7 linked regions of the Callithrix jacchus genome follow. The protein of the gene in region 4 binds, or shares a complex with, the protein of the main gene of each other region. Links are inferred from orthologs where the notes say so. Each region holds a gene or a part of one and is shown on either strand. Other genes may lie near its edges.

The links.
Region 1: the proteins of YWHAZ (region 4) and PRKCE are in contact, whole or in part, in a crystal structure (PDB 2WH0), measured with the Homo sapiens proteins. The link is inferred for Callithrix jacchus from reciprocal best matches to the Homo sapiens genes YWHAZ and PRKCE. Residues at the interface, in NP_001129171.1 of Homo sapiens: Asn42, Ser45, Val46, Lys49, Arg56, Lys120, Arg127, Tyr128, Gly169, Leu172, Asn173, Val176, Glu180, Leu216, Leu220, Asp223, Asn224, Leu227, Trp228; in NP_005391.1 of Homo sapiens: Lys365, Ala366, Leu367, Ser368, Phe369, Asp370, Asn371, Arg372.
Region 2: the proteins of YWHAZ (region 4) and ITGA4 are in contact, whole or in part, in a crystal structure (PDB 4HKC), measured with the Homo sapiens proteins. The link is inferred for Callithrix jacchus from reciprocal best matches to the Homo sapiens genes YWHAZ and ITGA4. Residues at the interface, in NP_001129171.1 of Homo sapiens: Lys49, Arg56, Lys120, Arg127, Tyr128, Glu131, Gly169, Leu172, Asn173, Val176, Tyr179, Glu180, Ile217, Leu220, Asn224, Leu227, Trp228; in NP_000876.3 of Homo sapiens: Arg1007, Gln1008, Tyr1009, Lys1010, Ser1011, Ile1012, Leu1013.
Region 3: the proteins of YWHAZ (region 4) and PI4KB are in contact, whole or in part, in a crystal structure (PDB 5NAS), measured with the Homo sapiens proteins. The link is inferred for Callithrix jacchus from reciprocal best matches to the Homo sapiens genes YWHAZ and PI4KB. Residues at the interface, in NP_001129171.1 of Homo sapiens: Asn42, Ser45, Val46, Lys49, Arg56, Phe117, Lys120, Arg127, Tyr128, Gly169, Leu172, Asn173, Val176, Tyr179, Glu180, Leu216, Ile217, Leu220, Asn224, Leu227, Trp228; in NP_001317650.1 of Homo sapiens: Lys290, Arg291, Thr292, Ala293, Ser294, Asn295, Pro296, Lys297.
Region 5: the proteins of YWHAZ (region 4) and CDC25C are in contact, whole or in part, in a crystal structure (PDB 5M36), measured with the Homo sapiens proteins. The link is inferred for Callithrix jacchus from reciprocal best matches to the Homo sapiens genes YWHAZ and CDC25C. Residues at the interface, in NP_001129171.1 of Homo sapiens: Lys11, Glu14, Gln15, Glu39, Val46, Lys49, Asn50, Arg56, Arg60, Val61, Ser64, Lys120, Arg127, Tyr128, Glu131, Gly169, Leu172, Asn173, Val176, Glu180, Asp213, Leu216, Ile217, Leu220, Asn224, Trp228; in NP_001274511.1 of Homo sapiens: Gly210, Tyr212, Arg213, Ser214, Pro215, Ser216, Met217, Pro218, Glu219, Asn220, Leu221, Asn222, Arg223, Arg225.
Region 6: the proteins of YWHAZ (region 4) and MAP3K5 are in contact, whole or in part, in a crystal structure (PDB 6EJL), measured with the Homo sapiens proteins. The link is inferred for Callithrix jacchus from reciprocal best matches to the Homo sapiens genes YWHAZ and MAP3K5. Residues at the interface, in NP_001129171.1 of Homo sapiens: Val46, Lys49, Asn50, Arg56, Lys120, Arg127, Tyr128, Glu131, Gly169, Leu172, Asn173, Val176, Tyr179, Glu180, Ile217, Leu220, Asp223, Asn224, Leu227, Trp228; in NP_005914.1 of Homo sapiens: Ser964, Ile965, Ser966, Leu967, Pro968, Val969.
Region 7: the proteins of YWHAZ (region 4) and MAPT are in contact, whole or in part, in a crystal structure (PDB 8QDV), measured with the Homo sapiens proteins. The link is inferred for Callithrix jacchus from reciprocal best matches to the Homo sapiens genes YWHAZ and MAPT. Residues at the interface, in NP_001129171.1 of Homo sapiens: Glu14, Leu43, Ser45, Val46, Lys49, Arg56, Arg60, Lys120, Arg127, Tyr128, Glu131, Gly169, Leu172, Asn173, Val176, Glu180, Ile217, Leu220, Asn224; in NP_058519.3 of Homo sapiens: Ser637, Cys639, Gly640, Ser641, Leu642, Asn644, Ile645, His646, His647.

The regions. Positions count from the first base shown.
Region 1 is NC_133515.1:68,787,634-68,791,203, forward strand, and holds part of PRKCE (protein kinase C epsilon type), read right to left. Parts: intron 800-3,570; coding exon 670-799; intron 1-669.
Region 2 is NC_133507.1:47,594,429-47,597,998, reverse strand, and holds part of ITGA4 (integrin alpha-4), read left to right. Parts: intron 1-814; coding exon 815-921; intron 922-1,013; coding exon 1,014-1,143; intron 1,144-3,570. UniProt on the Homo sapiens protein: Integrins alpha-4/beta-1 (VLA-4) and alpha-4/beta-7 are receptors for fibronectin. They recognize one or more domains within the alternatively spliced CS-1 and CS-5 regions of fibronectin. They are also receptors for VCAM1.
Region 3 is NC_133519.1:11,221,502-11,225,791, reverse strand, and holds the start of PI4KB (phosphatidylinositol 4-kinase beta), read left to right. Parts: upstream 1-1,425; 5' UTR 1,426-1,591; intron 1,592-2,607; exon of another isoform or gene 2,608-2,718; intron 2,719-4,270; exon of another isoform or gene 4,271-4,290. UniProt on the Homo sapiens protein: Phosphorylates phosphatidylinositol (PI) in the first committed step in the production of the second messenger inositol-1,4,5,-trisphosphate (PIP). May regulate Golgi disintegration/reorganization during mitosis, possibly via its phosphorylation.
Region 4 is NC_133517.1:96,015,732-96,019,966, reverse strand, and holds the start of YWHAZ (14-3-3 protein zeta/delta), read right to left. Parts: upstream 2,844-4,235; 5' UTR 2,712-2,843; intron 1,366-2,711; exon of another isoform or gene 1,215-1,365; intron 1-1,214.
Region 5 is NC_133503.1:36,746,490-36,750,059, forward strand, and holds part of CDC25C (M-phase inducer phosphatase 3), read right to left. Parts: intron 1,795-3,570; exon of another isoform or gene 1,547-1,794; intron 1,135-1,546; exon of another isoform or gene 1,131-1,134; 5' UTR 1,098-1,130; coding exon 904-1,097; intron 1-903. UniProt on the Homo sapiens protein: Functions as a dosage-dependent inducer in mitotic control. Tyrosine protein phosphatase required for progression of the cell cycle. When phosphorylated, highly effective in activating G2 cells into prophase.
Region 6 is NC_133505.1:143,405,980-143,409,549, reverse strand, and holds part of MAP3K5 (mitogen-activated protein kinase kinase kinase 5), read left to right. Parts: intron 1-370; coding exon 371-507; intron 508-2,301; coding exon 2,302-2,407; intron 2,408-3,570. UniProt on the Homo sapiens protein: Serine/threonine kinase which acts as an essential component of the MAP kinase signal transduction pathway. Plays an important role in the cascades of cellular responses evoked by changes in the environment.
Region 7 is NC_133506.1:86,636,261-86,640,336, reverse strand, and holds the start of MAPT (microtubule-associated protein tau), read right to left. Parts: upstream 2,838-4,076; 5' UTR 2,705-2,837; intron 846-2,704; exon of another isoform or gene 574-845; intron 1-573. UniProt on the Homo sapiens protein: Promotes microtubule assembly and stability, and might be involved in the establishment and maintenance of neuronal polarity.

The sequences.
Region 1 (3,570 bases), on a different chromosome or scaffold from region 4:
CGCAGCACAATCATCTGAGCACGCTGTTTGCAGGTGGCGCAGCAGGAAACAGGAAGGAACCCAGGACGCAAGTCAAATCCTACTTCTGCTAATAAGTTGTGTGATGTGAGAAAGTTGCTTCGTCTCTGAGCCTCTGTTTCCTCACCAGGGCCGTGGGGATAATATCCCCTATGTCCCAAGCTGGTGACAAAGCAGCAAGCTATCTTATGTGACAAGGTTCTAGCATGGCTCTTTCAAAGAGTAAGCACTGCGCTGTGGACCATGTCAGAGGGTCCCAGTTCACAGCTATCACTTCCTTCACCACCTAACTCCAAAAATATTGCTTTCCTTCTGCCCTGATAGATCTTTCCTTAAATTATGTCTAAGCTTTTGTAGACTCATCTTGTCTCCTGGATTGTGAGTGATCTTAAGGCATGGGGTCCACTCTCCTCCTTCCTTGGTGTTTCTCTTCACCCAGTACTGGCTGGTCTCTGCCCAGAGACTGCCTACAAAATGCGCAGAGTTACTAATGTGAGCTTAACAAAGGCTTGTACTCAGTTCTTGGCCAAATCTGGTATTCACTTTCTAGGCTATGGGAACAGACAAGGTGTTTTACAAAGCAGGGATTGGGGGCAGGTAGCGGGGAAGGGGATGTACGGGTGGCTGAGGGAAGGGCAGGGAGCAACTTACCTTTACACTGCAAACCCTGCCGCAAGAGGCCCCAGAGCAGGGAGCCACAGTGATCGCAGAAGGTGGGGACCTTGTAGTTGTGGATGCCGAACTTGTGGGGCATGTTGACGCTAAACCGCTGGGAGCCCACCTGCAGAGACGGCAAGACACAGGGTCACCACTGAGTGCCTCTGGGCCCCAGATTGTCATTGGAGCTCTCACAGAACTTCTTTCTGAGCGAGCACGTGTGATTGTAGGTGGCAGGCCCTAGCCTGGCTTTGAAAGCTGCCCTGAGGTGAAAGAGCCTCCATCCTGCCCCAGCCTTGGCTCCTGACACTCTTAACTCAGTGATGGCTGCTCTATTTGACTGTGCAAGGCAGGGCCTGCTCCCCAACGCAGTCCCCTCCAGGACTTCAGGACTTTAAGCAATCACAGTACACTGTCCTCAGTTTGTACCTCAGACTGGGTGCAGTGGCTCATACCTGTAATCCCAGCACTTTGGGAGGCTCAGGTGGGCTGACCACCTGAGGTCAGGAGTTTGAGACCAGCCTGGCCAACAGGGTGAAATCCCATCTCTACTAAAAATAGAAAAATTACCCAGGAGTGGTGGTGGGCACCAGTAATCCCAGCTACTTGGGAGACTGAGGCAGGAGAATCACTTGAACCCGGAGGGTGGAAATGCAGCCAGCTGAGATTGTACTATGGCACTCCAGCCTGGGTGACAGAGCAAGGCTCTTTGTCAACAACAACAAAACAATTTGCACCTTCAATGCTGCTGTGTGCCTGGAAGCCCCACTTAGGCAAAAAGTCTCCAGGCAGCTCAATGGTAGTCATGGGATTCTGTGCAGCAGCGTGTAAACCGCGCACAATGTGGAAACCGGATCTGTTAGGATGGACAACAATTAGGAGGAAGATGGCCAGGACAGAGGGATGAGTGCTAGGAATGCTAAGGTCTCAGCGCTGACCACATGCCAGGCACCATGATCTCAGTTAAACCTCCCCACCACCCTACAGGGCAGGCCCATTGTTAACCCAACTTCACAGCAAAATCAAGAAACATGTGGGTAAACTGACAAGAGACAAATGCAGGCTTCCATCCCCATGAATCTGCATTCAGAGCCCAGGCTTTTTTTTTTTTTTGAGATGGAGTTTCGCTCTTGTTACCCAGGCTGGAGTGCAATGGCGGGATCTTGGCTCACCGCAACCTCCGCCTCCTGGGTTCAGGCAATTCTCCTGCCTCAGCCTCCTGAGTAGCTGGGATTACAGGCACGCGCCACCATGCCCAACTAATTTTTTGTATTTTTAGTAGAGACGGGGTTTCACCTTGTTGACCAGGATGGTCTCGATCTCTTGACCTCGTGATCCACCTGCCTCCGCCTCCCAAAGTGCTGGGATTACAGGTGTGAGCCACCATGCCCGGCCAAGTCCAGGATTTTTAACCACTATGCTGCCTCTCATGGAGTATTTAAAAGGGTTAAAGAGATGGTGTCAAGACAGAAGGGGAAGGAAGGGAGAACAGAAGTCCAGGTGTGCTCCTGGGGGCCTGGGTCTGCCACTACCCACCCATGAGGTCTCAGGCAGGTTTCCTGACTTCTCGGAGACTGGGATTTCTCATGTGACAAATAAGGATGGCTGCTCACTCCCATTCCACCCAGCGTCACAGGACGGCAGGTCAATGAGACCACAGGGATGGAAGAAGCTAGAAGCATAACACATTCCATGAAGCAAGAGTCTGCTGGCTGCCTTTCTGGGTCATCTCTGCCCTCCACAGTGCTATCCTCCATCTATCTTTAGTGGAGCAGCTGCACCCCTCAGCCCCTCTCAAAATCAGCAGGAGACCATCACCGGAGACATCCATAGGCTGGGGAGAAGATCACTCTTGCTATCCCAGGGATTAGGAAGTGGCTGGCATGCAGCAAAGAAGCTGGGCCTTGGCTCCTTGGCTGACTGGTGAGTGACAGGCCCCCGTGGGGGACTAATGAGTAGTGAAATGCGAGCTGGCAAGGGAGCATAAAGGCGAGCATGGAGACATGGCTGCGTGTCTTCATGACATTTCCCTATCACCCAGTCCCACGGAATGGCTGATCCCTCCAGTGGACAAAGATTTTACTGATCCCTACTACTGAAGTGGATGGTCTGCCACTTCGGGTCTTGCCTGGCAACATGGATGTCAGCTCTGTTGAAAACAACTGTACTCACCCATCCTTAGATGCGCAGCTTAGGCATGCCTGTTTGTGGATGTAGACATGCTGACTCTGCCACGGTCTGCCTCACTGCTAAGGACGTATGAGATCACTGTGCTCACTCTATTCCTATATAAACCCTGAAGGCGTGGTGGACCCCTACTGAGAACAGAGTCTTGGTCTCCCAGGAATCGCCTCATAGGGGTATGAATGACAGACTAAGGTGAAAAATGGGGAACTTGTCCCAGATGACCAAGAAATCAGTGTGCGGGTAGATAGAGCTCAGTTGGGAAAGAGCTCAGGACCCTCAGTTGGGATGACTAAAAACTGTAAGGTATCACAGAACAGAGGGAGGAGGATGAAGGAGGCTATACGAGAGCATGCCACAGCATCAGATGGACCAAGAGGCCAACACGGAGATGGCATGCATGCAGGGGACACGCCAAACATGTGCTAGCTGAGGAGGACACAGATACAGTTGGGTGAGCGAGATTCACAAAGAGAACACGGAGAGGAAGAGAAGGGCACAAGGAATTGTGAGATTAAAGAAAAAAAAAGGTGACACCAGAGGAGACAGAGCATTCTTTGGTGACCACACCAGGAAGTGCAGGCAGGGTGGGAGTCTGCCGTGTGCTACGGCACCACGGCCATGAGACAGGGGGGACCGGTCGAGTATTCGTGGTGCAGAACACTCAGGAAGCCCATCATCAGATCACCTTTTGATAGGAGGGAGGGCATT
Region 2 (3,570 bases), on a different chromosome or scaffold from region 4:
TACTCTCCCCCAAAGCAACTTATTTAAAATTATTTAACATAGGATTTTAATAGGAACCCAGCTATAACACAAAGAATTTTTGCTAACAAAAATGATTTCTATGAAGACCACTTCTTCTTATACAGTATGGAAGTACTATATAGTGCATGAGTATTTTATGTTTGACTTTGGCTATTCCTGATTTGCCAAAGTGCCTGTTGAAATTTTCTTTATTAACTACTGAAATAATCTTGTTTTCTAAATAATTTAATCATATTCCAATAAATGGAAACATAGGGCAAGGAATCATTGGTATGCTAATTCCATGTTTCACTGTCCACATGCTTAATCATCACCTTCTAGCTCCAATAAATTGTACCATAATTGCTGAGGATGTATTATAGTCTTTCTATTCTTGATATCTCAGTAGAAGAAACATTTTTAAAAGTGCCCTGATAATATTGCTTATATTGTTAGATAAATGGTTAATTATTTTCGAAACATTAGACACAGCAGCTGTACTTGCACAACCTGGTATTAGCTTTAACTGGTTTTCCCCACTCCTAGTCCTGGTAGCTGTCTCCTGTATGATCGAGTCTGTCTCTTCATGGTGCTATCAGTTAGAGGTCATTTCTACAAACAAAAGCCACCTTGTATTAGAAAGGAAGAATGTTGGCATAGACTAATTCATTATCCTCACATTGTGCACTGAGTATAAGATGTTAGAGAACTGGTTAATGGAAAAGTACTGGGGATGAGTGCACAGTTTATTTTCTCTGCTTTTGTAGAATGTTTTCAAGACAACTGATGAAAAAATTATGTTCAAATGCTGTAGGTAGCCCTAATGGAGAACCCTGTGGAAAGACTTGTTTGGAAGAGAGAGACAATCAGTGGTTGGGGGTCACACTTTCGAGACAGCCAGGAGAAAATGGATCCATCGTGGTAGGTATTGGAACTGATCTACCAATCCATGGTGAAACCAGCTATCCTGGGTGCAGCTTTCACGTCATTTGGTCTACTTTTATTTTATTCAGACTTGTGGGCATAGATGGAAAAATATATTTTACATAAAGAATGAAAATAAGCTCCCCACTGGTGGTTGCTATGGAATACCCCCCGATTTACGAGGAGAACTGAGTAAAAGAATAGCTCCGTGTTATCAAGGTAAGGCATGAGTTTGATATTAAGTAGCTCAAGATAAGTAAGCGAATGCTTTTTAGTGCTTTTATGTTCAAGTTTAGATATTCAGAGGAGAGGGAGATATTCTAAGTAATTATGTTCTTTTTAACTACCCAATTTCTTCCTTTTCCTTCCTTACTCAATTGCAATAGCATTCATTTTCATAAATGTACTTTGTGCTATAAAAATTTTACAATTTGAGTAACTGAAATTTAACTGGGAATTGCTCACTTTTGCATTAAATTTACTTTCAATTTGGCATGAGTCTAGTGCCCAGCAAATATAGGATACTTAGAATTGTGAAATTATATTGGAAGTCTGATTAAAAAGATAAAGACATTAGGTTTCCTGTTTTACCTTTAGCTTCCAGGCATAATCGGAAAGAATAAAGTAATCAGTGTAAGCAAATCCTTCCTTCCTACTCACTATCTTTTTTCTAATTCACATGTATTCCTTCGAGCAGCAAGAGATTGGTGTCTTGAGTTTGAAACATTTTTCTCATGGTAACTCTATGCTATAGGTAGCATCAGCAAGTATGGAGCTAGGACATAAATAACAGAAGTGAGCAGAGTTGGGGTGAATGTCAACGGAGCATGTCAAGTGATATCTGCAGCAAAACTAAAATCCAACAATGTGCCTTTAGAAAGCTAAGAAACATATGAATGCCAATTTCTAATTTCTAACCATCCTCACCCTCAAATTCTCCAGCATCCAATGAAAAGTTTCATTAGTTGACAAAACTTTAGCCAAGAATTGGAGTTCAATTCTTGGTAATATTTGGATATTTCTTCCCTGGAATGTGAGGTCACAGAGCAACTTATATTACATATATTGCTATTTTGCCTTTGGATACCTAAAAGATAAAAAAGTGATTATTGAATTCTCAGTTGCAGTAAAACTCAGTCTAGTTTTCTGTATGTTTTTATCTTATTTTTCCTAATAGTTTATGGTTTATCTTTAAAATATTTTCAGAGTAGAGTTTTTAGTTTTTCTCAGATCTACCTAGCCACATACAATGAAAATCTCAATAAACCTAACACATCTACAATTGTAAAATACAGGACCAGGTAAGATATATATATTTTTAAAAGGAATGAAAATTCCTGACTGGAAAGATCAGAAATTTTCTGACTGGAAATTGTAATTATAAATGATTAGCAATTTATTTAAGTTCTCTGCTTAGCAAAGCCAAAAGGAAGCTGTGGTTCCAATTCTTATTTTCAAAGTTTTCTCATGTCAGTTTTTTTGAAAGAAGCAAAGCTTTGCCCCCTTAGTGAGTTCCAAAAGCATTCGTTCATGAGGCTTTGTAATAAGCGACCTTCATGTTCATGCAGATCTTGATTCAGCCTATATTTTCAGTTGGGCAAAATCTAAGAAAGGATACTCTCTTCAGTAAATGGTGTTGGCAACCAACCTAAATGCCCAACAGTGGCAGATTGGATAAAGAAAATGTGTGTTCAAAGGTAAAAGCCATTTGTCCTCTTCCTTTAGCTGACATTTATTGACTACTCACTGTCTGCCAAGCACTGTTCTAAGACCCTTGCTTGTGGTACTTGTTTTGCAAATGAGGAAACTGAGGTACAAAGAGATGAAATTATTGGTTTAAGGTTGCATAGCTAACACATGACATAGCTGGGATTTGAACATGCACAGTCTGGCTCCAAGGCCTGAGGTGTCAGCAGCCTGCTTCATGTTTCTGTTTATTCTCTCTCTCCTCTGAAAAAAAAAATGTGATGTATACACCCATGGAATACTGCACAGCCATAAAAAAGGACTAGATTGTTTCCTTTCTGCAACTTAGATGGAGCTGGAGGCCAATAACCTAAGCAAACTAACACAGAAAACCAAATACCACATGTTCTCACTTATAAGTGAAATCTAAACATTGAGTACATATGGATACAAAGAAGGGAACAACAGGCCATGGGGCCTACCTGATGGTGGAGGGTGGGAGCGGGGAGAGGATCAAAAAACTACCTATCGGGTACTGTGCTTATTATGTGAATGGGGAAATAATCTGTACACCAAACCCCCGCAACATGTAATTTATCTATGCAACACACTTGCACATGAACCTTGAACCTGAAAGTTTTTTTAAAAATGCCATTGGGAGAATTGGCTAGCTGCATGCGAAAGAATGAAATTTAACCCTTATCTTAGCAAATATACCGAAGTGAACGGGATTAAAGACTTAAACATAAGACCTGAAACCATAAAACGCCTAGTGAAAAACATAAGGGAAAAGCTACTTGCCATTAGTCTAGGCAATGAGTTTTTGGAAATTACACCAAAAGCTCAAACAACAAAAGCAAAAATAAACAAATAGGACTACATTAGAAAGCTCTTGCATAGCAAAGGAAATGATCAACCGAGTGAAGAGACAGTCTCCAGAATGGGAGATGGTATTTGCAT
Region 3 (4,290 bases), on a different chromosome or scaffold from region 4:
TTACTTCATATGTTTTATTTGTAGACATAGAAACTGAGGTTCAAAGAGGTTACATTAGTTATTCCAAATCAAACAGCTTGTAAGTGGCAGGGAAGATGGCATTCACAACCTGGGCTCAAATAACTAGCCTCATTGTATTATGTAAGGCCCTAACGAGGGGGCCTGAATTGCATATTAAGTAAAGCTCTAGGAAAGGCGTTGAGATAGAGGTTCTGAAGACAAAGAGGGCTCTAAATCAACAATGTTAAGCGAAAATTACACAAAACTGGCTGGGCGAGGTGGCTCAGGCCTATAATCCCAGCACTTTGGTACCTGAGGCCGGCAGATTGCTTGGGGCTAGCAGTTCGAGACCAGCGTGGGCAACATAGCAAGGCAACATTTACAAGACAAACAAACACAAAATACACAAAAGCAACACCAGAGGCCCATTTGCATGGCGTGTTTTTGTTTATTTGTTTGGTCTAACACAGTTTCGTTTTGTCTGGAAGAAGGGATTGTGCCCTCCAAGCCTTTGTCATTTCACTCACCTCTCCCAACCTGGCCCTGTCCGGCCCCTCCCTGGAGGGCTCGGCGTGTGGATGCTGGAGGCCACCGGCTGCCCCGGCAGGTGGTGACCTAGGAGGCAGAACCACGCCCTCGAGTCGGGCCTCTGACGGCGAGAGATTGACACGGTTGGACCGCGCCATTCCCGAAGCGTTAAGGGGCGTAATCTCCTCATCGCCCTCGAAGATGAGTAGGAAAAGGGCAGTGAGGGCGAATATCTTCCCCGTCCGCCGTCTCTCTTTCTGCGGCCTTCTGGGAACCCAGCGTCTATCCCACGGCCTGATTTGCTAAGGGAGTGTTGTTGCATCGGGGATGGGGAAGTCATTGATTGTAATTACGGTAACTCGGTTGGTAACTCAAACGGTCATTTACATAAAATTTGAATGTTAATGTACTTCTGGAAGTATGCAATATGTCCATGCTTCTCTAACAGGGCACCCACGCCCGCCTGCTCACCCTACTTATGCAGCAAATTCTACTTCTCTCTCGGCTTCTGCAGCCTCGCAAACGCTAGCTGTTAGGTCCTCTTCTTAAAGATCGGCCCCGCCTCCCACCCATAAGCTCCTCCCTTCGCTCTCCCTCGCGAGCTTCCAAACATCTTTTCCACGCCCCCTTTTCTATTTTTGAACAGGCATGTTCCGGGCAGCTCACCCGACTCCTTAGATTACTATGGGATCGGTAGGGTCCTGAGCGTTGGGGAAGCAGGAAAGCATATCCTGGGAAGAAGGGATTGGACTCAGGAGAAGAATCGTACATCGAGACCTTCTGGGGAATTTTATTTTATATTATTTTATTATTGTTTTGGTCTTGGTTGTACTGAGGGAGGAAGAGGAGATTGTGTCGCCCGGTCGAACTTGTGGCAGCCTGAAGGCCCCCTCAGGCGGCGCCGCGGGCAGCCCCGCAGCCGGGGCCTGGTGCAGCCGCCGCGGCCGCTGTCAGGGAAGCGCAGGCGGCCAATGGAACCCGGGAGCGGTCGCTGCTGCTGAGGCGGCGGTGTCGGCAGTCCGACCCCGACTGCCCGCACCCCCTCCGCGGGGGTCCCCCAGAGGTAAGCTAGTTCTCCTCCATGAGTCACCTTTGCCCTGTTGCGCGGGGGGGGGGGTGTCCCTCTCCCACTCTGTCCCCCACAGTCTTCCCCACCTGAGTTCGACTACGAAACAGCCCTCTTGGTGTCAGCTGCACTCCGGATTCCTTCTCCACCCTCTCCTCTCAGGCCTGGGGTCCTCCTCTGCTTTTTGGCTTCCTCTTCAGTTTAGCTCCTCCCTCTGCCTCGGGGATTTCCCCCCTCCCTCACTCTTATCCCTGTTGCCTACGTCTGGAATTATTCTTTTTTAAGTCATGAACCCTTTCCACATCAGACGATTTCCACAATGCCCATCCTTGTCCTTCCTCGTCGTCTCTGCCCCTGCTCCAGACCTCTTCCATGGACTCCACCTTTATCTCTTTTCCTAGTTTGCCCTTTTCCTCCGAGGTCCCTGTGCAACCCCAGCACTGGGTTCCCATTTCCCTGAGCTAAAGATTGTATCCCTGTCTTCCTGTGCTGCTTCTGATTCCATTACCTCACCGTCACCCACCCACCCAGCCAGCTCCTGGCTTCCAAGAATTGCCTGTTCCCTTCTCCTTAAGGGATCTCGGGCCCTTGTCATCAGTCCCAAAGTACCATTTACATTCTTTTTTTTTTTTTTGAGACGGAGTTTTGCTGTTGTTACCCAGGCTGGAGTGCAATGGCACGATCTCGGCTCACCGCAACCTCCGCCTTCTGGGTTCAAGCAATTCTCCTGCCTCAGCCTCCCGAGTAGCTGGGACTACAGGCGCGCGCCACCATGCCCAGCTAATTTTTGTATTTTTAGTAGAGACGGGGTTTCACCATGTTGACCAGGATGGTCTCGATCTTTTGACCTCGTGATCCACCTGCCTCGGCCTTCCAAAGTGCTGGGATTATAGGCGTGAGCCACCGCGCCAGGCCCACCATTTACATTCTTACTACAAGCCTAGTCCTCACTATTCTCTGGTATGCATTATGATCCCTATAACTTTCTTCATCTTCTCTTTCTCCCTCCTCAGTCTCCCAGCCTTCTGGAGATTTCTGTCTGTAGGGGAGAGATTTGAGTGCCCTTCCCATTCGGGATTTCCAGCTTTGACACCTCCCTCGAGTTTCAAGGATTTTGCTGATCGGTGTGTACTTGGTTCTGATTTCCCTGTGGTCTCCATGCATCCTCTATTACACTCTTTCTCTCCACATAATACTTCATTTCAGGATCAACTAAACCTTGAACTGAGAAGAAAAATGTGTTGGGAGCAGGGGGAGCCTCAGCTGCCTCAGGCTGTTCAGAACAGAAGGGTGCTTCTGAAGGCTGGAGCAAGTTTTGAAGCCTTCCCTATCAGATTACACTTGGTTGACTAACTCAGGAGCAGCCACTAGGAGGGATGAACAGGCCTGCCTGGAAACTGAATGAGATTATGAGGAATCTTGTTGCAGATTATTTAATTTTAGGCGTTTGTTAAAGGAATTACAGAATAGAGTGCCATCCCACCCCTGTCCAGATCCACGAGGAATCAGTTTAATGTCTGTGGTTTACTAGAATAGTTTTGGTTGGTTCCATAAGATCCCAGGCCTGGAGAGGGGTAAGGGTGTAGCTGGAAAAAGGAACATGAGACAATGGAAAGAGCTTATACATCCAGAATCAGGACTCCTGCTTTCAGCATGTGACTTCCTCACTTGACCTCTAGAGTGATCCTTTCGGAAAATGGCCCACTCTATATAGGCATCAGTACAGTAATAAATTGGTAGCAGGATGTGGGTTGGGGGAAAAAATCAGAATTGGTTTATTTGTTTACAAAACATTTTGGGTTCCTCAGGCAAAAGGTATTTATTAGTAGTGGTTTAGTCATCCTCAGAATTTTCCTTCAACTTGGTCTTTCTGTTGGATGTTTCTAGTCTACAACCAGGGGTGTAAGTCATTTAGAAAGACAAGCTCCAGGCCTGCTTCCTTCATCAGCTTTACTTTTTCCCCCCAGTGTGTTAAGTGGCTGATTTTCTTTGCTGTTCCTCATGTACTTGATCCATAACTCCAGATTCTATAGGTGGAAAGTATGTTTGTGGGAAAGTGCTTTGAGGAAGCTGGCTGGAAAAGAGAACTTGGAATGAACTAGGACTTAGGCAGCTACTTGCTGCTATGTCTCTCTCTGCCTGTGTTGGCGAAAGGGCATGTGAGATTCCATTCATTTTCTGATTCTAGGCCTGTTTGGGAGTAGTTATGTCATCTTATCCCACTTCTCCCTTCTCTTGTCATTAGCCACGGTGCAGTCTCCTCATAATTCCCCTTATTAGAAGAAGCTTTCTGGCTGGGCGCAGTGGCTCATGCCTGTAATCCCAACACTTTGGGAGGCTGAGGTGGGCAGATTACAAGGTCAGGAGATCGAGACCATTCTGGCCAATATGGTGAAGCCCCGCCTCTATTAAAAATATTAAAAAATTAGCTTGGCATGTGGCACATGCCTGTACTCCCAGCTACCCAGGAGACTGAGGCAGGAGAAATGCTTGAACCAGGGAATCAGAAGTTGTGGTGAGCCGAGATTGCACCACTGCACTCCCCTGGCAACAGAGTGAGTCTGTCTCAAAAAAAAACAAACAAACAAAAAAAAAAACAGAAGAAGAAGCTTTCCTCCTTGGAAGCATCCCCAACCAGAAATCATATTTCCTCTCATTTCCCTGCTTTCTTCCTAGAGTTGGGTCCACACTTCATG
Region 4 (4,235 bases):
GCACTTCCAAAAGCTGCCTTAAAAAACTACCCCCAAAATCTCAACTCAATTCCAATACCACTAAGTGATATAAAATTAAGCAGCTTTTCTTCCTTTTGTAAACGTACTGCTTACAGAACATGTGGATTTCTATCATACTTCCAGAATCGTAAGTCAGTTTAATGTAATTTATGTCTTTTAACTTTCATAATAAGGAGTGATTAAATTTTAGTTTTCCCCTCATTCCAAATCTACTAGATCTCTGTAACATTTGCCAGCCGTAATAGCATAACACTTTAGGGGAGGAATAGCCAAACTGCTTGTTCTCAGATATTTTTACTGTAAAGCCACCACAAAGGACCAACATCTAACCGACCCTAATGCCTCAACTCTTTATCGTGTTGTATGTCCACATGCTTTAAAAATACCCACGAGTCATGGCCCTTCAACTATTACTGTGAGTACTAAAATACATCACATTGGAAGTGCTTAATTTACAAGTGTTTGCAATGTCATGGCTCCAGTTGCAATGTGTAAGTGCCGCATCCTGCTTCTAGCTGTCACCGTCACAATAACTGCATGCTATCACTCAAGCTGTCCTTTGCCGTGACTACCCACCTAACTCCTTCCCTCACATAGTTTCCTAGACCTTTTCAATTTACCTCAGCTACATTTTTCTGGAAGGACATCCTTTTCAAAGTTGCTAAACAGCACAAAGACACTAATCCACACAGTGAGACCGCAGAATAAACGACTTTAGAGGAAAATATACACATAAATGAAGTGTATATTTTAAATTAGAAGGTGAACAGAAGAGCTATTCTGACCCACCCACCTTGGGAGCTGACTCCCGAATATTAATTACCTTTTACCTTCCCAGGGAAATCCCACAATACTTTTTTAACCAAATGAGAGAACATGTCCTCACATTTTAAGCAAGTAATTAGCTAATTTGGATGCAAGGTACTGGCTCACCCATAAAAATTATTTAACCTTTATGACGACATGCTTTTCCTCAGGTCTCTCTATTATTAATTTTTCCCTTAGGAACTGAGACACGCTCTCTGGCTAATTCTGCTTCTAACGAAAAATGATTTCAAACCAGCACAAAGGATTCTCTCCCCCACTACTTGGGTACAAGAGGAAGTGGATAAGGTTTCTCACACAGTAACGATGGCTCCAAGGCCTCGCCTCTACACTGCGGGCAGGACTCACCGCACCCATTTAACCCTTACCTGACTTGAGACATCGGTTAGGGTGAAAAGAAAACGGGCAGACCCGGACTTTAAAGTGCAAATCCTCGGGTCCGCGTATCTGCAACCACCCCCCTCCAGGCTCCGCCCAAGCCCGAGCCTCCGCTCAGGTCCCCGACTCTCCTCCTTTGTCATGGCGGATCTGTGTCAGGGAGCCCAACCTACTGCTGAGTGTTAATTCCCCCCCCCACCGGAGCAAGGGGGAGGAGCAGCCGGCGCCCCCGCCCCCGCTCGAGCCGTGGGGGGAAGCCAAGCCACCCGACCCCGGGGCAGAGACGCCAGAGACGCCCGCAGAAGCGGAACCACTAGCAGCCTCACCGCGGACACACCCCGCCTTCCCACCCAGCGCTCTCCCCGCCACCGATCAGCGCCGGTGCCCGCGTGCACCGTCCCTAAGGGCCCGACAGCTGCAGGTGGGGGAGGGGACGAGAGCCACACCCAGTCGAGCGGGCCACCGGCGGCCGCTCTGCTCAGGATCACTGTGCGTCCCCGAAGCGGCGGAGGGACCCTCCAGTTCTAGTGACTCCGGCGCGAGAGCCTATCGCGGGATCCGCACCCCGCTCTACCCCAACCTGGGCTCACAGCCCCAGTCCGCGCCTTCCCCGACGGTTCATAAGGAGGAAAGAAAATCATCCCCATCCCCATCCCCCGTCCCCACCGAGAAAATTCAAGCCCTTCCCCCCACCGCGGAGCCCAGGAAATTCAGCTCCAGGTCCCAGGCGAGCCCCACCCCACAGCCTCCCCCCGCAGTGGGCTCCCTTCCCGCCGCCGGGCCGGGCCCGGGCTCCTGTCCGCTTCCGCCAGGCCCTTCCCTCCCGCCTGTGTCCCCGAGGCCCCCGGCCCCTCCCCGCCGCGCTACCTCCTCCCGGGGTGGGGGAGGGCCGGGTCCCGCCACCGCAGCGCCCAGCGCGGAGGCTGCGCGAGGGGGAGGGAGAGCGGGGGAGGGAGAGCGGGGGAGGGGAAAGAAGGGGCGGCCGAGGGACAGGGGAGGGGGCGGCCTCACCTGCGCCCCCGCGATGCCCGCCGCCGCCGCCGCCGCCGCCGAGTCATTATCTCGGGCGGAAGCGAGAAGGGCAGCGAGGGCGGGGGTAGAAGCAGAAACAAGGGTGGGGACGAATCGCGGCCGGCGGCGCCCCGGCCATGCCTCGTCCGGCTTCGGGAGCAGGCGACGGGGGATCCCCGGGGATCTCGCGTGTGGGCGCCCTCCCCACCCCCGGGAGCGGGACGGGGGAGCGAGCACCGATCGGGGCCGGGGCGGCGACGCGGAAACCAGGCGCGGGAGGCTGCCGCTAGCCGCCCGCCCGAGCCCAGCGGAAGAGGAGCCGCCGCCCGTGTCTGCCGGGGAGACTCCGCCTCAGCCCCGCGCCGCCACCGTGGGGCGAGCGGGGATGAGGGGACCCGGTGAGGACGGCTCCCACGCGTTCAGAAGGCTGGCCTGGGACAGGAGGAGCGGGGAGCGGCGGCGGACGGGTTCCTCACCTGTGTCCGGAGTGGGTGGAGGCGGCGGACGGACAGGGGCTCAGCAGTCTCTGGGCGGCGGCGGCGGCGGCAGCGGCGGCAGCGGCGGCGAGGCTGAGACTCTGTCCCTGGATCTCGCTGCTCACAGGCTACAGCCGCTCCGCAGACACGGGGTTTCCTCCAATCACCAGCCCCGGCAGCAGGGGCACCACACGCACGATGACGTCAAACGCTGCTATGGCAACCGTTGATTAGTGCCCACAGCGATCTGGGCCTCGCGCAACCGCCGCTCCCCGGCGCGCGTCCTGCCCGCCCGCGCTGGAGGGCGAGCGGAGGAGCGCGCGTCCTCGCCCGCTACGGCCACTCCCCCACCCGGCTCGGCTCCCAGGTCCTCTACGCTTGTCCGGAGTGCACCTAGGCGGGAAGCTTCTGTTTTTCTTTTCCTCCCCAACGCAGATCCCCCCGACTCCTCGCCTTCCCCTTAGGTCCCCGACGTCCTCTCCCCTGCAGCCTCCACCGGCCCACTCTACCTCTGAGCCTGTGGGAAGGCAGCTGTCTCCCTACCCCTACCCCCACGTTAGCTTTCGCTCAGCCGGTCTGCGCTTGCGCCAGTCACTCCTCTCACTCCTCTGGAAGGGGCTCCAGTTCAGCAACATCCGGGACCTTTCACATCCCCCCCACCCCGCCCCCCTCCCCGAGGCCCGGCCCGCCCTGCCCTGCCCTCGGTGCTTCGCGGTGGTCACTGTCCCAGGGCCGTCCCGGGGCAGGATGACGAGTGTGGGTCGGCGGCTCCGGCATTGTGATCAGGACTTGCAGGGTGGGGGCCCTGGGGCGAGGACAGGGCGCGGTCGCAAGGCAAGGGAGGGCTGTGTGTGGTGTGCTCCCCTTGCTCGGCTGGGTCGACCAGGGGGCGCGGCCGCTCCCTGCTTCCCTTACGCCGCCGCGGCTTTACCTGCTGGCTCCGGGGAAGTGGCCCTAGACCTTTTATGGCTCGGAAACGGGAGTGTGGCTGAGTGATGGGGAGGTGTTCCAATCGGGAGCTCGGGATCTGCGCTCGGTGACAGCGAGAGGGGACAATGGGTGGGCACCGAGATGGGGCGAGGTGGGCCGGGCCGGGCGGAGCCGGCGGGAGGTCAGGCCTGGAAGGAGGCGCGGCCGCTTTAGGGAAGCCAGAGTGCGGAGGGGAAAGGATCGCCTTCTCCGGTGGGGGGCTGGAGCTGGTCCTGGCACAGCTGACCCGGAGACGAGCAGTCAGGCGTGACCGCACGGGCCTGTTTCTCGTAGGCTAGGTTTTCCTACCCAAATAAAGCGTTCACGTGAAGAGCTCACACTGCAGTGATTTAAAACGTGACTATCATTACCGTTTTGTCTTCTAAAAGCAAGCTTTGAAGGACGTCGTAGTCCCCAGGGCCCCAGCTGGCGATGGGAGTGGGCCACAGGCCGGGCGACGAGCGGGGACAGAGCCCGGAAGAGGGGGAAGGAGAAAGGCGGAAATTGCAGGTGCCTGAACCGGTAGGGCCTCCGCCCAGTTGACTTAAGGAAGTT
Region 5 (3,570 bases), on a different chromosome or scaffold from region 4:
CAAATAAATCTAATTGCTTTTGAAAATATCTCAGACCAGGCTGAGAAAAATCTCCCACTACTATAATGTATACCTCATTTTCTCCTTACCAACATACTGAAACAGATATTGTTTTTTCTTTAATGAGGCCCAAAGTTTATTGGCAGAGGAAGATCTTGACCCCACATTCTCTATCCTGGGCAAAGTGAACACAGACTTGATTTCTCCCTTGAGTCCCTAGTATTTCCCAGGTACTTACTTCTCTATTTGCTATTTGAGACATGATACGATCAGAATTCAAAGTACAACTGCAATAACGCTAATATTAATACTAATAATGTGACCAACTCATAATGTAGCAGTTTTCAAAGACTCTTCCCAGATATCAGAACATTTGATTCTCACAAGATCCTAGTAAGATAGGAAGAGATTATTATTATTATTATTATTATTATTTTTGAGATAGGATCTCACTCTGTTGCCCAGGCTGGAATGCAGTGAGGTGATCTTGGCTCACTACAGCCTCCAGCTCCCAGGCTCAAGCAACTCTTCCACCTCACCTCAGCCTCCCGAGTAGCTGAGACTATAGGTGCCAACCACCACACTCAGCTGTTTAATATTTTTTGTAGAGAAGGGGTCTTGCCATGTTGCCCAGGCTGGTCTTGAACTCCTGGACTCAGGCGATCTGCCCTCCTTGGCCTCCCAAAGTGTGCAAATTACAGGAATGAGCCACCTCACCCAGCTGAGATTATTATTTCTATGTCACAGGAAAGAAGGTGAGACTCAAAAGGATTACAGTGTCAAGGGAAGAGCTGAGACCCAAACCCTGACATTTGAGCCAGATAACTGAAAACAAACCAACAAAAAACCCAACTGTTTGGAAATAGCAAAGGCAATAAGACGTAAAAATAAAAGTATATTTACCCAGACAAAATGCTGAGATTTCTAGAATCACCAAGAAATTCACCCAGTGGAGTTCTAGAGACATCTGGACAGACGGTAAAGGAAGTGTCTCTCTCCAGGAGCAGGTTTAACATTTTCCTTTGATTAGACCTAAAACTGGGTCCTGAGCCAGAGCTTCCTTCCTCTTTTACGGATGAGAAGAGTTCTGTAGACATGGTCTTCGAGTTCTCACAGGAGAAAAACAAAACCTAGCTAAGAGGAAAACATCATCTATATCAGTACATCACAGTTCCCTCAGCTTTCCCAAACTCCTCCACCCTTTTCAGTCAGGCGGACCAGCACTGGAGGAGGGGCATCCTCGAAGGGTGATTCACAGAGTGGCTTAAAGGTTAAACAGCACTTGGTCGAAGCGGCTTGGCTTCAGGTTACAACCTGAATTCACTGACGAGAGGCAACCTTAGGACTTTAAAGATGGAATAAAGAGAGGATCTTGACTCGTTCCACGCGACACAGCTCCAGACTCCTGACCAGAAGGAACCCGAGTCTGGTAACTCGCAATAATGCCCATTCGGCCTTCCCAACCTCCGTTTGTGGGGGCCCAACTGGACCCTAAGGGGTCAATGGAGTCTCCATGATTCTGCGGCGGAGACCACTGCGAATTTACCTCAAGCTTGGAGTCTGAGGCCTGCCGTCGGGAGGAAGGAAGGTGGGTAGGGGTCGGACACAGGCGGAGACTCGAACAGAATAAAAGGAAATCTGGAGAAAGTAGACAGTTAACTAAACCGCAACTCTGCCTCCCAACTGGGAGGCCAGCGTCGGACTCGGCGGCTCCCCTGAGCAGAAGGCCGAAGTTACAGCCTCGGAGCAAAAATACCAACAGCCACAGGCGTTGACCATTCAAACCTTCCGCCCGCCCAGTAACTTATCCCGGCTCGCCTCTAAGCTGCGTCAGCCAATCTCCGCGCTCGCGCCCAGACCCTCATGGCCAATCATTGGGCTCGCACATCACCCGGGGGCGTTGCTTGCTCTGGAAGTGGAAAGACTTGCCCCGCCCCATAACCAGAGCAAGATAGCGATTGGCCCACCAGTGCTGAGCAAGGCTGCGGGGTATGCCCGCCTTAAGGGGAGCCTGACGTATCATTGGCTCTCCCTCTGAGCAATCGCCACAGCGTTTCTGTTTTCTTCGTTTCCCTCCACCCCACGAACCCCGGGAGATTTAAATCGCGCCTGGCTAGCAATGACCATTCCCCTAGGATAATACTAGGAAAGACTGTTTTGGGTGTAGGATGTTTTAAGCGTTTCATTTTCATGGCTTCTTTCTTGTGCCGGCGTTTTCTTCTACGTTTTGCTGGCCTTCCACGAAAGATGGAGCATTTGCTGCCGGTGTGGCAGGTGTTGGGGCAAGACAGGTGTGCGTGTTTATGATGAGAGGCATTGGCCTCTTCCGAGAGCTTTCCTTATTTGGTTTCTTTCAGTGTGCAGCATCTCAGAGACACTATTGTACGTGGGTAAAAAGAAATTCCGTTGCAGGGAAGTGAAGGAATTAAATCATCCCGGAATAATCCTTATCACAGTCCAGAAGACCTCAAAGTTTGATTATTAATGGAATTTTTGAACAATGACTAAGTGGTGATATTTAGAAATTATTGACCGGGCGCGGTGGCTCACGCCTGTAATCCCAGCGCTTTGGTAGGTCGAGGCGGGCAGATTACATGAGGTCAGGGGCTCAGGACCAGCCTGGCCAACATGGTGAAACCCTGTGTCTACTAAAAATACAAAAATTAGCTGAGTGTCGTGGCACACAATCTGTAATCCCAGCTACTTGGGAGGCTGAGGCATGAGAATTGCTTGAACCCGGGAGATTGAGGTTGTGCCACTGCACTCCAGCCTGGGCAACAGAGTGAGACTGTCGCAAAACAAAAACAGACATTCCTGATGTTAGGGATTTGCTTTTAAATAATCCTGTGCTGGGGGAGGGTATTGATGATAGAAGATTGACCCTGAGTGTTGAGCAATAGGGGGCAGGAGGATCCATCATATCTGCGTTACTCAACATTTAATGTGCACACTAACCACCTGGGGACCTGCTAAATGCAGATTCTGATTCAGGAGGTCTGCGTTGCAGTTGTGGCCCAAGAATCTGCCCTTTTTTTTTTTTTTTTTTTTTTTGAGATGGAGTTTCGCTCTTGTTACCCAGGCTGGAGTGCAATGGCACGATCTCGGCTCACAGCAACCTCCGCCTCCTGGGTTCAGGCAATTCTCCCGCCTCAGCCTCCCGAGTAGCTGGGATTACAGGCACGCACCACCATGCCCAGCTAATTTTTTGTATTTTTAGTAGAGACGGGGTTTCACCATGTTGACGAGGATGGTCTCGATCTCTTGACCTCGTGATCCACCTGCCTTGGCCTCCCAAAGTGCTGGGATTACAGGCTTGAGCCATCGCGCCTGGTGATTCTTCCATTTTAACCAGCCCCCTGCTGATGGTGAGGTAGCTGGTCCTAGGACCACACTTTGAGTAGTAAGATATTATCTAATACTCCTTACTTCAGTGTATATTTAAAAATTTCCATAATAAAAATCTTCCAAAAATAACCTTGGAAGCTCTTTAAGATGTAGGCTCCAAAAACCATCATTCAATAGGTCTAAAGTGGGGTCATTATCAAGGCCCCCAGGTGCTACCTATGTAGA
Region 6 (3,570 bases), on a different chromosome or scaffold from region 4:
TCAGGCCACAAAGTTACATTCCTTAAATAATAATAAGGCTTAAATAATTTAAAGTTCCAAAAGCTTTACATTTGAATTATGTAATTTCGCAGAGACAGTGCGTAAATATGGGAACCATTTCAGTACCAATCATCTTGGCTTGAATTAAGGTTAGCAGTTGACACTGGCCTTTTACTTAGACGCATTTGGTAGCAAGCTTCTTCAGAGCAGGGCTATTTGCAAATTTATGTTTGAGCCCAATATCTAGTACAGGGCCTGGGCCACTGTGAAGAACCAATGATTGTTAGCTCAAATTACTGTTACGTTATTAATATTCTTTAAAGAGCTCATTTGAATGAGGTTTTATTTACTATTTATTCCTACTTTACAGGAAGTCTTTCTGCTCTCCTCCGTTCCAAATGGGGTCCATTAAAAGACAATGAGCAAACAATTGGCTTTTATACAAAGCAAATACTGGAAGGATTAAAGTATCTCCATGACAATCAGATAGTTCACCGAGACATAAAGGTGGGGTGCACCAGGATTCGTTTTCATGAGTTCTTTCTTTGCTGGGTTATTATTTTACTTGCAAAAGTCATATTGTGTTATGAATGTTAATTTAGAATGGTGAATAAGTAATTCTTAGAAACAGCAGAAATCTAAGCTATAATTCCGCCCTGAATCACTTCTTTATGTTCATGTGTTATCACTTCTGCTCAAGGAACAAACTGCTTAACTGTTCAGCCAACAAGATTGTGCTCCCACTATATGATGCTTCCTAGGGGCTCCGCAGGGTGGGATGCAGTTGTCTAAAGTTAAACAGGGCCCTGGTCCTGAGGAGCTTACAGGCTGGTTAATCTTTGTATCCTTTTCCATAGTAGCTACTCAGTAAATACTTAATGAATCAATGGATGAATGGTTAGAAGAAAAAAAAAATTCCTCTTTTCTCACAAGTATCACATATTCATTGATTGAACTATAATTATAAGGTATAGATTCTCTAAAATTAAAATAATAACTTTACATTCTCTTTTTAAAAAGAAAATTCAGAACAAATACATTTTTCACAAAGTCTAGACTATTGAAAGTAAGTTAATATTACTACCCTAAAATCAACCAAAATGCCCATTTATCTGTAGTGTCCCTACATGTTCCAGGAGAAAAAGTAAAGAACCATAGAAAAGAAAGTAAAGTAATTGGAAAGTTATGAAAATCATAATTTAATTATGCATATATCATTACATATCTGTAAATAGCAGCAAGCTCTAACCAATTAGGAATCATATTTGGTCTTGTGATCTGAGTAACAGATTGTGAAGAACTTATAACCACACAATGAGTTCATCTTGCCCGCTGACCAGATAGAGCTGACTTCTCAAGACAGAGGAATTGCAATCGAGAAAGTTTAATACACATAGAGATGGCTAAAACCAGATATTGGCGTTTTATAATAATTCACATCAGCCTCTCCCAAAATTTAGAGGCTAGGGTTTTTCAAAGATAGTTTGGCGAGCAGGGGGCTAGGGTACATGTGCTGCTGACTGGTTGAGGATGCAATCATAGGTGTGTGGAAAATGGTTCTTGTGCACCGAGTCCACTTCTGGGTGGGGGCCACAGTAATGGTTGAGTCCAGAGTCACAGGTCTGGGTAATGCCATCTGGTAGTCAGATATGGAGTAGCCTGAAAAGACAGCTCAAAAGGCCAGTCTTAGGATCTACAATAGTGATGTCAATTATGAAAACAACTGGGGATGTTGCAAATCTTGTGACCCCCAGAATAAGGAGCTGATAATCATGTAACTATGCCTGCATCTTAGCAGACTTTAGGCCCCTCTCATCCTCCTAACCTGGTTGCCTTTCCTTAGGTTTATGAAGGTGGTTTAGTTTTGGGGAAGGGCTATTATCATCTAAACTATAAACTAAATTTCCCCAAGTGAGCTTGGTCTACACCCTGGAATGACCAAGGGCAGTTTGGAAATTTAAGGCAAGATGGTGGTTGTTAGATCATATCTCTTTTACTGTCATCATTTTCTCACTGTTATAATTTTTGCAAAGGTGGTTTCACACTGATAATATGTAAACAAAAAACAGTATCAAAAATTCACTATTGAGATCAACTACTAATGAAGAATACAGAATTAGTGTCATTGGTTGCTGTAAGGACAGCTTTTTTAAAAATTGGACTTACCAAGTCAACAACAGACAGTATCTGAAGAAAGATAACATTTGTGCAACAAAAAAAAAGAAGAAAAAAAGAGAAACAAAAGAAAATTAAAAAAAGAAAGAAAGATAACATTTGTGATGAAAGTCCTCTGTTCTCTAGGGTGACAATGTGCTGATTAATACCTACAGTGGTGTACTCAAGATCTCTGACTTCGGGACATCAAAGAGGCTTGCTGGCATAAACCCCTGTACTGAAACTTTTACTGGTATGTTTTTACAATGATGATACAGATCTCATGTAATTAAAGAAATAATAATTGCTGAGTTTGAGCATAATGTGAGAGAGAAATTCAGTTGGTGTTCTCACACACAGTAATGTTGGTATCTTTTCTCTTTTCTTTCTTTCTTTTTTTTTTTTTTGAGACAGGGTCTTGCCCTGCCACCTAGGCTGGAATGCAGTGGTGTGATCACCGATCACTGCAACCTCAAACTCCCAGGCTCAAGTGATTCTCCCACCTCAGCCTCCCGAGTAGCTGGGACTACAAGCCTGCACCACCATGCCCAGCTAATTTGTTTTGTATTTTTGATGGAGACAAGGTTTCACCATGTTGCCTAGGCTGGTCTCAAACTCCTGGGCTCAAGCAATACACCTGTGGCCTCCAAAAGTGCTGGGATTACAAGTGTGAGCCCCGACACCTGGCCAGTATTGGTATCTTTCGATGCTCACTGAAAAATGTGTTACAGAATTTTATTTGGCTCTTTTCTCTTCCTGTATTTATATGACTTGCTTAGTTAGTCTCCTGCTTAATGCCACTGAAGTTTTTTTTTTTTAAGTCTCAACTTGTTATTTGTTTTTCTTTTCATGTGATTACTTCTCTCCTGGTTGGCCTACAGTAACTCCAGCAAGATTTTTTTTTTTATTAAACATTTCCTTGGCCCAACCTCTCTGTGATTCTTACTCATAGCCTAATCACTTCCCATTTGGAGGAGGAATTCCCTCTTTTACTGTTTACTCTCTGTTGTTGACTCCCCTACGCCACAATATAAATAACCACAGGATTTCAATTCAGAAAGAGGAAGTGACTAACTGACTCACAAGAGGGAGGGAGAGAGCCTTCCTGAGAAATTAGGCAATGCAGCCCCTGAGCTGCCTGTAGTGCAGTCCTGAGAGGGTGGAGACCAAGTGTTTCCAAAAAGGTAACAGTAGCCAAGAGGAAGCTCAGACTCAAGAGATTCAAGACTGCTCAACAGTAATAGGGAGGGTATGTGAGATTTCAAACCTGATCTCCACTCTAGGTTCTTATCACTTCATCATGCTGATTCTCATGAAGGGTTAAGTTCTTCTTATAGAGAGAAATTTAGCAAAAAAAAAAAAAAAAAGAGAAAAGAAAAGAAAGAAAGAAAGGTCGAGGGGCGGGGAGAGAAAAAG
Region 7 (4,076 bases), on a different chromosome or scaffold from region 4:
TCCCCAGTCTTGACCACCGCAGTGGCCCCACTAAAGCGCCAACACATTTCAAAATGGAGCGAAATCGCAGAAGCGAGGACTGCGCTTTGTTCCCAGCACTGGGCTAAACGCGCTCACCCTCACCGGGCTCCCTTTCCTCCAACGACGGGAGGTGACGCCTCTGCTCGAGAGACGGCAACAGGCAGCTGTGACTGCGGGCTCCCTTTTTCCAAGGCCGCCCCAAGACCCTCGCTCCATCTGGAACGAGAATCCCGCGCCCAGCTCTGTCTGGGGGCGAGGGAGGAGAGGAGATGCTTGAATCGATCCCTAGCCGCTCTGCAACCCCTCGCGGCCCGCCCAGCCACGCGGGGAGCCTCGCAGCAACCTGGCTCCAGCCCTCGACGCCACAGTAGAAGAACGGTCGGCTTGGTCCTGGGCGGGCTCTCGTCCCCTCAAGCCAAGCCATTCCTCAGAAATTCAGATCAACCTGGGCGCCCCAAGTGGAGGATTCAGCCCCTAGATGCTCATTCGTTTCAGAAGTGCGTCCCCCGCACCAGTTTTCAGTGATATAATTACCCAGAAAACCGCACGTACCAGGTTCATCACAGGAGGTCGAGGCTCAGATTCGTTGGCCAGGAGTTCCCCCTGCCGCCCCAGACTCGGTTTTGGGGGTGCGGTGAACTTGGACTCCGGTGAAAATCCCGCATTTCAGATAAAGAATATTAATCAGTACGGCCATAATATTAATAAAAATACACCTTGGGCCACTTATCTGCGTGTCTGCGGCCGCCAGGGGCCAATTAGAAAGAGCCAGAGGCGCAGGGATTGGGGGCTTCCTCCTGTGTCTTCCAGAAGGCTGACTGGACGCAGCCCCGCCTACCCCAGGGTTCCCAATCTCCTTGGGGAAGGGGTGGGGCCAGCCCCAAGGTCCCCTCTCCAGACGCCTGTTGTTCCCATGGCAATGCCCCCTTCGCGCCCCCTCAAGTGGGCTCAGAAAGATGGGTGTGGCCGCAGCATTAGGCACCTTATGTCCCCGTCCTCACATTCTCCCGCCAGGCGAAGCAACAGGGCGCAAAGCTGGAGGGGCCCCGCCGGGGCTCCCCACCCATCCCCGGATGGGTAGCCAGCATCCCTCGCTGGGCAACCTGATGTGTCGTGGTCCTCAGGACACTTGGGGTATAGGGAAGGGCGCGATTCCACTACCGCCGCCCGCAGCGCGCGCAGAGACTCGAATTCCACCCCTTCAGAAGCTTCCTGGCGCAGACAGACTCCGAGACGAGGCTGCGCGCGGTCACGCCCGTTCCAGGCGTGCCGGGGGTTGACTCAGGTTCATCTACCCCAGCAAGCCTGGAGATCCAACAATGGGCTCGGAAATGAGGAGCGAAAAAAGGAAAGAGAGGTGCGTGGGGGTAGGAGGGAGGTTGGCTAAACACCCTCAGAATAAAAGCCAGAAACCAGGACTGAGAGCGCAGATCACGTAACCTCTACAGACAAAGCAGAGCCCCCGAAGGAGGTGCTGGGTGAACGCTCCCAGTGCTCATGCCCGCAGCAGCAAAACGCCAAGATTTTAGAGCCGATTGTCCCCTTCCCTTTAATGCCAGGCCCCGCCCTGTCCTCCGAAGCCTGGCCACCCGGTTTGGCATGGCACCGCAAAGACGTGACACGCCGAAAAAAGATGGCACCTCGCGTTCCGAGGGGAAAAAACGGGGGTGGGGGCGGGAGTGGGAGGAGGCACAGACTATCCTCCCCCTTCCTCGCCCACCAGGGTCCACACCCACTGCCGCAGTGAGGGGCGAGCCCTGCGCGCCAGCCCCGCGCCTCCGGCAGGGAGCGCACACGCCGGGAGTCCGGCGTGTCGAACGCTAAGAAACCCGCCCCGAGATGCACCTGCAGCCTCTGCGCCCGTCAGTGCAAGGCTGCAGCTGTGCCTTCCCGCGAGCGGGGATCGGCGGCCACCGAGTCCATTCGTGTCGCCAGGCCAGGTGACCCCCGTCTTTGCGAGCGTGCACACTGGGAGCCGCGCACTGCTCTCAGGAACGTCGCTGCTCGTGTCTCTGTGCCAGGCGTGCGCAGGGGGAAGGGCAGCTAAAGTGACAGCGCCTGGACCCCTCCCCATCTCCTTGATTCCTCCCAGCCCCCAAATGTCCCCTACGGGTTTCTGAAGGAGGAAATGGGGAGGGGGTCGGCCACCATCTAAAAGCAGGGGCAGTGAAGGCCTTGTCGGAACCACTGCTAGGGAGGGGCAGGGAGGGGCATGCAGGGAATCATCTTTTCTAGAACCCGATCCGCATCTTCTTTAGGGCTGACGGCGAAAAGCGGCAGGGACAGCGGATTTCAGGTTCGGTTTTGGGGGTCGTTATTGGACCCCTACACACACACACACTGCGGCAAGAGGCTGAGATCGAGAGTGAAGAGTAGCCCCCTCCCCGAAGTCAACGCCGCCGCGCCCCACCCTGCGAGCACAACCTCCACCTGGGGTCGGGGCCAAGCGGGAGGTGCGGACCCTCCAGCACACTCCCGCGTGCGTGCAGCCCTTGCTCACGTCCCTTTCCAGGCCGCCCCGGCCCCAGTCCCCGAGCAGCGTGAGCAGGGAGGGGCCCTGCGGTAGCCCTGACTGATGCCCGGCGCACGAAGCCCCCGTCTGCGGCGGGGGAGGGCTAGGGGCGGCGGCGCGGGGGTACCCAGGGGCTGACGGCGAGGCAGATTTCGGAGCCTCGGCGCTTACCTGATAGTCCACAGAGGCTAGGACGGGAGAGGACCGCGGAGGAGGAGAAGGTGGCTGTGGTGGCGGCGGCAGAAGGTGGGCGGTAGCAGCGGCGCTGCTGCTGGTACCGGAGCTGGTGGGTGGCGGTGACTGCGAGGGCGCGCGCCGGTGAGAGGGCGCGTTCCCGAGGCCGGCGGGCGGCGCAGGCGCGAGCAGCGGGAGCACGAGCTTCCCCAGAGGAGGGGGCGGGCAGCGTCCGCTGGCGCCTTCTCCTCCGGCCACCAGTAGGCGCGCGCGAGCGCCCCACCGCTCGGCCGTCCCGCGCCTCCGGGCTCGCTCCTCTCGGCGCTGCCCTTTCCCGATCCTCCTCCCGCTACGCCTCAGGCCGCGGCGCTGACCGCAGCGCGCACGCGTGTTCCTTGGCGCACGCGCACTCTCCGCCTCCTGTAGCTGTCGTCTTTGTCTCTTCGAAGGGGTCCCCTTCTTCTAGCCCTGGGGGTTCGGGGCAAGGCCAGTGGCTCCGCCCGTAGGTCCGCTGCCCCTTTCCTTTCAGTCAGCCTGGGGCGGTGTCCTCTCCTAGAGATGTCCTGAGCGGGCTTCCACGTGGCCGGCCCCCAGTCCGTCCACCCCGACCCTCCGGAACCCGAAACCTCTCCCTGGCTGAGGTCGCTTTCCCCCGGGCTGCTTTCTTTCTCCTTGCTCTTTTCCCACCTTTTTTGTTACTGACCAAGGTGAAACTTCCTTAACAAATTCACTTAAAGCAAGCTAATTCAGTTACAGTGCAGTAGAACTGTACTTTTAAAAAAAAGCATTTGAATCTGTGATGTATCTAACCGTGACGCTAGAAACAAAAATCATGAATTAGACGAAATTCAAATAGTGCCTAGCACATCGCAGAGCATTTGCACACTCACGGTTACTTGTATCACGTCTTTTGAAACACCTTCACACTGTAAGTAGAGCTTGAAGTCTGAATGTTTAAGGGCCAGCTAGAGATTGTCCCCTGAAATACGCACCTCAGCCTGAAACTGAGGTGGTTCTCATTCTGCTGATCACTCAGGACCCAGGCTTTGGCCTTAGCTTGCAGTTTTCATTTCCCCAGCATCAAATTTAAGCCCTGGCAGTGGGAGGATTTCTATGTATGGGGGTTTAGGGCAGCCATCTCCTCCTAGGGAGATGGGAGTTGTCTTGAAGCTCCAATTTGCATAGCTCTTATATGCTTTTTAAAAAACCAACGTATGTTATAGATTAATAGAAAAAGCAAGTAAAGTGCATTTTTCACACTTGAGTTTCTGGAACTGACCATATATATATATATCCATATAAATTTTATTTTTAAGCAGAGGGGCATATACCCAAAAAAGTAGGACTGAGAACCAACGTGAGAGCTTGC